Linked DNA regions of Tribolium castaneum. The protein of the gene in region 2 binds, or shares a complex with, the protein of the main gene of each other region. Links are inferred from orthologs where the notes say so. Each region holds a gene or a part of one and is shown on either strand. Other genes may lie near its edges.

Region 1 (4,018 bases), on a different chromosome or scaffold from region 2:
TATTCGCAAGTAATAATAACACAAAATCGAGTACAAAAAGCAGCCGGATTACAGTTTATTAAATTGGTGTGTCAGTCAGATAGATTATTAGGGAACAGCGACGTCTACCTCAAAATTTTTTCTTCGTAGGACAATCACATTTTTTGCTTAGTGATGATTCTGGTTTTTTGAATTTAATAAACTGTATTGTGTAAGCTCAAGTTGTAAGAATGTATTTTCCGTTAATGAGACAATGATTAAAAAGATATAATAATTCTCTCGTTGGTCTGATTTTTATTATTATTTTTTTTTTCGTATAAAAAGCCTCCGAACAAATACGGATTTCAGGTAATTATGTGTAAATTGTGCTTGTGCTTATTTGTGTTGTGTGTACAATGTTGGGAAATCAGTCTTACTTAAATTTATTTCTAGGGGAGTCCACGTACCTGTGAATGGGAGGCTCAAAGGGCATGCATCGTACAAAACTGTAAATATTGCATGTAGAGAAGGGATTGTGTCATTATTTTTTTTTGATCATTCATTCATCCGCTTGCTTTTTTTAAACCAAGTTTAAAATCAGTCAAAACACTTTTTAATTATGAGAGTACAAATGCTTTTTTGATCTCATTTCATTTTATCTTGCCAATGTTAGTACTTTGGTTACCGGTTATTATAAGATTTTTGCCATTTTCCCCCTAACCCTCTCCCTAGTTTTTTTTGTAGGGAAATTTAGAAATGAACTAATTGTGAACCGAATTGCCAGTACAATATGAAGACTGAATGAAGAATAATTTAACGATCCAAAACTGTATACGATTTCTTGTTCAGGCTTCAGTTCTAATTTTCCCTAATTTTATAATTGTAATAACTTAACGAAAATTTCTCTCTTCCCTAGAAAAGGCTGTTAAATTATTTTATTAAGACCAATAATTTGTATGCTCGAATTATTTAGTGCATAGTTTTTTTCTCAATGTATTTTTTTACATTAGGAAGTACCTTCTTATAAGTTAAACTTAGAACATGTTTTAATTTTTCTCTTTGTGTTTCAACAATAGAAACAAGTTGTACTTACGATGCCAAATTTTGTTAATGTTTTAACTGATTTTAATTGAAAACAATCTCGAACCCAGTGTATGGTCTTCAGAAAAATATTTTTTAACATGGTACCAACCAGTTTTATAATATAAAAATTGTATTATAAGGTTAAAGTAACAAAAATTATGTGACTGCGTCATTATTATTGAACGAAAATAAAGTAAACCACTATTTTTATATATAAATACATAATTGTATGGTTATTATAGTTTTTATATTGATATTGCTTATTGTGATTGTGATCCAAGATTAATATTATATTTTAAGTTATTAGATCTGAGAACACTGCTGGAGATGATTTGGTAGTGTCATAATTTTTTCAAATCAGATCTGAGCGCACTGCTGGAGACTATGGTAGTGTCATAAATTAAAAATAAAAGCTTTAAAAAGTGTTTTTTCAACGTCCCCTGCCACGTCCTCGCTGAAAGTTGCCCCGACCTCGTCCTCCGGAATTTCCTTTGCCCTTTGGAGGCGGACTTTTCGGCCTCAAAGCTTCAATTCGTTCCGTACATCCCGTCGTTATATTATTATTAGTAAAATAACTCGCGTATAAATCGGCATTGAAATTCGAATTTGTTAACTCGGGACCGATCGTTAACCAACCTGGACGTATGGTACTGTCTCTACCGAAAATGTGGAGGCGCCGACGCCCCAAACAGAAGTGTTCGATTATATGGAAAATTTCAACCGGTTTTTCCAAACTTCCATATTCGTTCTCTTCCGAAATGATCAAATCAATGTCGACGTTGGCGTGAATAAAATCCCCGTCGGTTGACCGCCGAACCGTTCCTTTAATACCCATAAGACAGTGTTCCTTTGTCCTTTGGAACACTGCTTTAGGGTCAAGGTTTTTCGAATGACCTGGATTTTTTATGTTTGTGCGAATCCAACAAATATCCTCGCATCTGTAATTAGATTTATTATTACAAAATTTTGGTCTAAAAATGGGGAAAATACCGGCGAAAGCCCCATTTTCTGAGACACACGCGCCCCATGTCAAGTCCATCTGAACTTCCACACCACAAAAATACGAAACTTCGTTGCGCTGCCACTTCCCCCACATCCAAATTCATGATTTGGTCCCATGGCCAGAACTGCATATTTGTGGCCCCCATGGTTCTCTGGTATTCTTCCAAAGGTGGTTCAATTAAAATCACATCAAACTTACAATTTAGGTTTTTCAAATCATAAGTCGTTAAATCACATTTGAGATACATAGGGGGATTTGCAGTTTGTGCAATAAGTTCGTCTTTTAATTTGATTAATTCACGTAATTTGGGGTACTCCTCAAACCGGTCCGCTAGACCGACATCGCGGATGAAATTCTGGGGTCTTTGACCAGTGTCGACAAAATGTTGGCAGTAGTCATTATGGGGGTTCGACGATTGAGTCCCTTTGAGAAAAGTTGAAGAGTCACGATAGACCAATTCATTTGGAGTGTCTTTCTTGTAGTCGTATTTTTCGTTTTCGTTGTTGGTGGAATCGGGACGTCTCTTAGAGACCTCGGTTGTGGTTCCTAGGACCTGGCGGAGCTCCTCGGGGTTGGAAACACCAAGCTTAAACATTATTTGTCAGTGATACATAACCACATTTTTACTATACGTACAGTTTGAGCCAGAAGTTGCTTGCGTTTCCGTGATTTCTCACGCAGGTGTTTCATAACTTCACCCATTTTCAAGTGCAGACGGGTTTTATCAACTCATTTTATTTAGTTTCCCCGCAGTTTTTGGCAAAATTCGGAAAATTGATGATAATCAAGTAGCGCCACCGCTTGACATATCGTGGCGGTAGATTTAAATTGGGGGATGAATTATTTGTGGTAGAAATAAATTGTGTAACACTTAAGGACAAATAAAGTTTTGTTGAAATACTTTATTTCTTTTATTTAGAAACCTGAAAAAGTTGGCAAATAGTAAAATTTGGCGCTTACCTGTACCAGAGTACTTCAGATAAGATTGAAGAAAAACATGCTGAGAAAAAGCAGGAGATAAAACTTCTCTTTGGCCCTTATCAGAGTTCAGTCGCGCAAATTACCAAAAGCGTGTCACCTACACAGCCCTTAAAAACGCGTAAAAATCCTTACAAAGTGACCATTAAATGGGGTTAGTCATTAATTAATTGTGGACGTAGTGATTTAAAAAAAAAATGTCTTGTAATTGTGCTACACCTCGTGGAATCGAGGTAAAAAATTCCGACACACAATCAGAAGTGTCGGAAAGCGGCACGGCTACTTCTGGTTTCAACTCAAATTGGGGCTCCAGAGAGGAATTAAGGGATTTTGTTGCCAAACACGGATTAAAGGACATTTCGGATTTGTACCAGGACCGGTTCCGGGTCGACCGCAAAAAGTTGGAACAGATGCTTAGTGGTAAGTAAAGTTTTTTTTGTAATTTGTGAAATTATTTGTAAAAAAAGGGGACAACGATGCACTGATCCCTGCTGACGTTTTTTTTGCGAACATTATGGAAGACACTGACACTTACATAACGTGGCCAAACAAACTCAAATTGGGGGCTAAATCGAAAAAGGATCCTCACGTGAGGATCGCCGGCAAAGAAGAGGATGTTAAAGCCGCCAAAGACAGGATTATGACGGTTTTGTACACGAGATGCAATCGTGTAACCATGAAAATGGACATAAGTTACACGGACCATTCGCATATTATCGGCAGAGGAGGGCTGAGTATTAAACGTGTCATGGAAGAAACTCAATGCCACGTACATTTCCCTGATTCGAATCGTTCGAATCCGATGGAAAAAAGCAATCAAGTTTCGATTTCGGGCGATTTGGAAGGGGTTGAAAATGCAAGGAGTCGCGTTAGGGTATAGTTATCAAACATTTTGAATCCAACCCTACCACTAGTACAATCATTTCAGGAATTAATTCCGCTGATTTTTGGGTTTGAGCCTCCAATAATGGCCCAAAATATTGATAATACGTGTCC
Region 2 (5,584 bases):
ACATGTTGGGCTCAAGAAACCAATAAATTAGTGAAGTGTCTGAATTTTAGGTAGAATTTTTCCACTGAAAAAATCATGAAATACTTCTGTAAATCTACAAAACTACATTTAAGATTAACAACTGCTGATACATTTAAACGTAAATTATGCCAAAAGGTAGGCTTTTCACTGTCTTTGTAATAATTTTCCAATAAAGAAAGTGAACCAAACAGTCATTCGTTATTCGTGTTTTCCTCGTCATCTCTAATTTGTCAACATTCGTTTCTTACACCAAAGATACAATAGTCATTCCGCATAAGCATTGTAATAATTGTGAAGCCTCAAAATTCGTACAACGCTCAAAACATCTAAATAAACATTTTCCCGCCATTTATGGTTACTGTTTTCGACCTAGCTCAGTGGCGCCCCCAACGGTAATTTTACTTCCGAATATAATTTGATCAACAATAAAAATAAATTATTTTTGTAACGGTTTCCCAGGAAATAATTCCCAGTGTTGGCACATCTACAAATTGTGATTTTTTGACAAATTTAATTTTTTTAATTAAAAAAACTACTAAAGTATGATAGTAAATTTTAATATAATTATCCATCATTGTGCTAGGGATCGATTAATTATTATGAAACATAGCAACTTTAAAAAATAATGAACAGTGAAGAGATTAACAAAAGTTTTTAGCTGAAGATTTTCTAAAACATGACTTTAGGATTTTTTTCAAGATTTTTCCCGAAATCTACCCATGCTTCTCAACAACGTAACAGTGAGTTGGTGTGCCAGTTTTTGAACTCCCAGTATTTAGGAAAAATTTTTGAACTTTGGGCATTTAAATTTTGAAAACGACGAAAATACTAAAATAAAATACTTAATAATAAGTAAATTAGTAACGTTATGGTCGGCATTTTGAGGGTTATTTCGTAAAAAGAAAACAGACTCTCACTTATAAACGAGTTAAATTTAATGTAGCAGACCAAAAGAACGCCATTTTCGACACTCAGTAGAAATTTTTCGCCACATTAGAGGGATTATTCAGTAAAGTAAATAAGTTTTTAGCTCAAAATAACGTAATTCGCGACATAATTAACTAATTTTTCTGTCTGTTTTAACGCTGTTTCACAAAAAAAAGTTAGCAGTAAGCTAAAAATCATCCTTAGTAGGTCAAAACACTGACTTTCGTCATTTTTGGCGAAATATCGTAAAATGAGCTTATTACTCAAAAATATGATCTAATGAAAAAGACGAAAATAATGTCGTTGTCAACCCTTCCTTCGTGATTTTTAATACCATTTTGGGCTGAAAAACGTACTAACAAGCTCCATCTCCAAGTGAAGTTTTATCTAATTTGCTATGTTTATCTCATAAAAACACAAAAACCTCCTCAAAACTGCAGAAGCTGTCATGGTCACTGTTAATGTTTACAGCAAGTGGCCCTACACAGAGCGTCACAGTTCGTGCATTACATATTGAGATATTATTGTCTTTAGAATCCCTTACTGCAATCATCAACAATGGGCATGATAATCATTGCGGTTTTAGGCCCCAAAATTTGGGGAGGATTTTATCTTGTTGTGGTAACAAATTAAATAGAACTTAATTTTTGGAATTATTTGAACAAAAAAATATGTTTGAGCATTTGAAAAAGACAAAAATACAGGCTTAGTAGATGAAGGGGCAATGTAACTTTTTTTGAAAATTTTTGAATTTTGAAAATTTTACAAATATAGACTATTTTAATATCGTTTAATTAAAATATGCTTCACACATTCGTATTTTTCTGTAAAATTTCTTGTAAAAGTTAGTTGTTGCAAATTGGTTGAAGGGAGTATATACAATTAATTTGGTATTGTTCACTTACGGATCTAACTGCACACTATAAAAATAAATTAGTCTTATGTATGTTTTTTCCATTTCAAAAAAGATCATGCTCAAAATTTATGTACCTATAAAATAGTGTAACGTACACATTTAACTTAATTTTAACTGAAACTAACTATTTTCTTGTTTAACAAATACATACATGTTTAATAATAAATAATGATATATATATAATTTAGTAAAACCTAGCTAACATAACTGCAAATCTAATAAAGAATTTTTTCGAAATGAAACTTTGAAAGCACGTAAATAATTGTGTAAGTCAAAAAATCACAAATACATAGCCCCTTCAATTATTAAACTAGTTACGTCATTATTCGAGTTTTCGAGGGATTGCACAAATTAATTTCTCAATCTTATAATTTTAAAATTTTGCGGCGAATTAGAGAGAAGTTTCGCATAATACGTGAGTTTACAACTCAAAAGCACATAATTCTCGACTTAATTTGATAATTTTTTCGACGTGTTTCAATAAAATCATTCTGAACAGGACAAAAGAAGGACGATTTTGAGCTAAATTACAGTCAACTTAACTTAAATTAACGCTACAATAATTATTTTACTTTCAACCATTATTTGTGATTTTTACCTGTTCTATGGAATGCATGCAAAATACTACCTGAAATAACTAAACTTTTGGCTAGAAGTCATACCTTCTAACTTTGATCAGAACTTCATGAGAAAAGTAGGTTTTTCCCTTTTTTTTTTTTTAAATAAAAAAATAGTCACTTATAAAACGAGCTTTTAGCAAATTGGCTCAAAATAACATTTAAAAATAAAATTTTGGAAATTTTTAAGATGACAACAACAAAACTTGCTCTAAAAACTACCTCTTCAGTCTTCACCTGGTTTTCAATTCACGAACCGCAATTGCGTTTTGGGACCTACCTGATATCCCTCCCTGGTCCGTTCCCTGTCTCTATCCCGCTCTCTATCCCTGTCATTTTCGCCACTTCTGGGTCTCACCTTCGTGTCCCAATCTCCCTCAGGAGGGTGATGGTAACTCCTAGGGTCCTTAGGAACATCACTATAATACTCGTTGTATTCCTGAGGGTAATTCTCAGGCTGATTATAGCCCTGCTGATACGGGGCGGCATTCTGATTATATTCAATTGGAACACTTGTGATATTTTCCTGACTCCACTCATTTTCAATATTATTTCCTGAAATTATCTGCTGGGCGTCTGCTATAGTATTGGGCTGCGTTGGTAAAGCCGGATTCACAACAGGTTGAATAATTTGTTCAGTAATGTTATTAGTCAAAGTACCATAAACCGCTAGGGTGATGGTCGTGTACCACCCCCTCAAAACCAACCCATCTGTGGGTATTTTTCTAACAGTATCTTCCGGAACGCAGTTCAAATTGATACAACCGTTTTGATTATACTCGAACCCCCCTAAACTCTCAAAAGTACTCGCACCAGGCTTCCCCAAATCATTTACAAAAAACTCGATTTGAAACTGACTGGGGTTTGTAGCCCCCAGGCGGACGCCACCGGGGAAATCCGCTTGGACCCGAGCCCCCAGAGGAATAATACGAACTTCGGTTACATACACGGGTTTGGGGAACTGCACCAGATCCAAGTTTAGCTCCTAATTTACGAAACTCGTAAGCGAGGAAACAAAAGGCCGAAAACTTACCTCGGTGTTGTCGTGGGCAAAAGTGTCGAAAAAGAGCAATTCGACCACGTCTGACATTTTGGAAATGTTAGTTTTCCATATTTTTCACAATTACACGTAAAAACCACCGATAGTTTACAAAATTCGGAGGAAAAATGTGGTTAGCACACACAATAACAAACTTTTAGGTTATGTTTTGGAGACAGGTGCACCAACTTAACGTCATTTGAAAATGTAAATATACAAAAAACTTCTAATTCTATGAGCTTTCTACCGTTTATTCGCACTGTTTGTGTTATTTTCAATATTTAGCTTATTAATTTAGTCATATTTTAATAATACAGAGACGTTTATATAATTTATGTTATAGGTTATGAGATGTTTGGCTAAAAACAACCATCACATTTTTTTCATCAACGAACATGTCCAAAGCTTTAGGCACCGCTCTCGTGGGTTAGTTTCACCCCCTGTACCACGTACATAGTTAATACAGTGTTTAAGGGGGCGGTACGGGCTTCATAGGAAGTCACTTATGTAATGCTTTGAAGTCACAAGGGTATGGCGTTACCGTCATTTCCCGGATGCCGGGTCCCCAACGCATGACCTGGAACGACTTGAACCACGTCGGACTTCCCGAAGGAACAACAGCTGTGATTAATTTAGCTGGACAAAATGTCCTAGACATGAAACAGCGCTGGAACGCCGGCTTTAAACAAAACGTCTTCAACTCGAGAGTCAACACCACCTCATCCCTAGCTAAAGCAATTTCAAACGCGCAAAACAAACCCTCAGTTTTTGTGAGCATATCAGGAGTTGGAATTTACAAAGCAGATAAAGTCAGAGAATATGATGAAGCGAGTGTAGAACCCGAGTTTGATTTTTTCTCACGGCTTTGTCATGAATGGGAAAAGGCCGCCAAGCTTCCAAAAGGGCCTACTAGGCAAGTGACGATCCGTAGCGGCGTTGTTTTGGGGAGAAACGGAGGGATGATCAAACAGCTCTATTTGCCGTTCTTTTGTGGACTGGGGGGCCCTGTCATGCCAGGTGATCAGTACTTACCGTGGATACACATTGAAGATCTTACCGGACTGATTTTATTTGCACTCAAAAATGATAAAGTTGAAGGGACCCTGAATGGAGTGGCTCCACAAAATGTCACAAACAAGGAATTTTCAGACGTATGGCTTTGCAATTTTGGGTAAGTAATTTATTGAGTTTTTCAGGCTTTTGCTAAAGCTCTGAGACGTCCGGCTTTTTTTCCCGTCCCTAAGTTCGTCTTGAATGTTCTGCTTAGTGAAGAAAGGGCTAATATGCTGACTGAGGGACAAAAAGTCTTGCCAAAGAGGACAATGTCGTTAGGGTTTCAGTATAAATATCCTGATATTGCGTCAGCATGCCAGCAAGTTGTTACAAAAGAGTGAAACTTATTTATTGAAATGTTACAAAAATTAATAAAAAATTACAATTTAAGTGCCGTTATGAAATTTTCTCCCAACACGTATAAACAAGTATTTGAAGCATAAATCCCTAAAATTTCCTCGTTTGAAGGTAGACTGAAGACTTGTTGCTGTGCTAATGCGTTTACTCTTTTCCCAGTCGTTCTATTCCTTAACTGATTCAAACCGATGCTTTTATTTTGGCAATAAATAAAAATGTGTTTGGTCGATTCGCAAATAGCGGCGTAACTCAGGTCAGGAGAGGCCACAAAAAACTTCATTTGTTGTTTTGACGCCTAGAAAACCAAATCAGAAACATTATTCAAAGTCGGAGTACTAAAACTACAAGGCGAACCGAAATCAAAATCACCTAATTTTCTATAGCTAAAAAATTATGAATTATGAAATATATTATTATGAAATTATATTATTAGAAAACACCAACAAATTAAAAATTATTGCCCTGAAGAGCATCTCAGATGCAAAAACTAACGAGAAAACGTCGAGAATAAGTACTGTAAAAATGCTGTAATTGTAAAGAATCAAATTTCCTTTGAAAATTGCGCAACACCGAACACTCTATCTTCGACGGTTTTGTTCTTCCATTAAAGGTAGAGGCATTTGTGCGGAACCTTTTTTAAGAAAATTAATTCCA

Evidence for each region. Proteins that work in one complex are often made in the same cells at the same time.
Region 1: vir (region 2) and Mettl14 share a complex: the UniProt entries of both Drosophila melanogaster proteins name them as parts of the WMM complex. The link is inferred for Tribolium castaneum from reciprocal best matches to the Drosophila melanogaster genes vir and Mettl14.

Annotation. Positions count from the first base shown.
Region 1 is NC_087399.1:166,672-170,689, forward strand, and holds Mettl14 (N6-adenosine-methyltransferase non-catalytic subunit), read right to left. Parts: upstream 2,876-4,018; 5' UTR 2,747-2,875; coding exon 2,681-2,746; intron 2,631-2,680; coding exon 2,032-2,630; intron 1,980-2,031; coding exon 1,472-1,979; 3' UTR 1,198-1,471; downstream 1-1,197. Other genes in the region: phosphatidylinositol 3,4,5-trisphosphate 3-phosphatase and dual-specificity protein phosphatase PTEN, read left to right, coding at 1-129; BicC (protein bicaudal C), read left to right, coding at 3,220-3,442, 3,490-3,896, 3,951-4,018. UniProt on the Drosophila melanogaster protein: Non-catalytic component of the WMM complex, a complex that mediates N6-methyladenosine (m6A) methylation of mRNAs, a modification that plays a role in the efficiency of mRNA splicing and is required for sex determination.
Region 2 is NC_087394.1:22,054,676-22,060,259, reverse strand, and holds the start of vir (protein virilizer), read right to left. Parts: upstream 3,656-5,584; 5' UTR 3,572-3,655; coding exon 3,515-3,571; intron 3,467-3,514; coding exon 2,762-3,466; intron 1-2,761. Other genes in the region: epimerase family protein SDR39U1, read left to right, coding at 3,916-3,946, 3,995-4,671, 4,717-4,914; nudC domain-containing protein 1, read right to left, coding at 4,953-5,225. UniProt on the Drosophila melanogaster protein: Associated component of the WMM complex, a complex that mediates N6-methyladenosine (m6A) methylation of mRNAs, a modification that plays a role in the efficiency of mRNA splicing and is required for sex determination.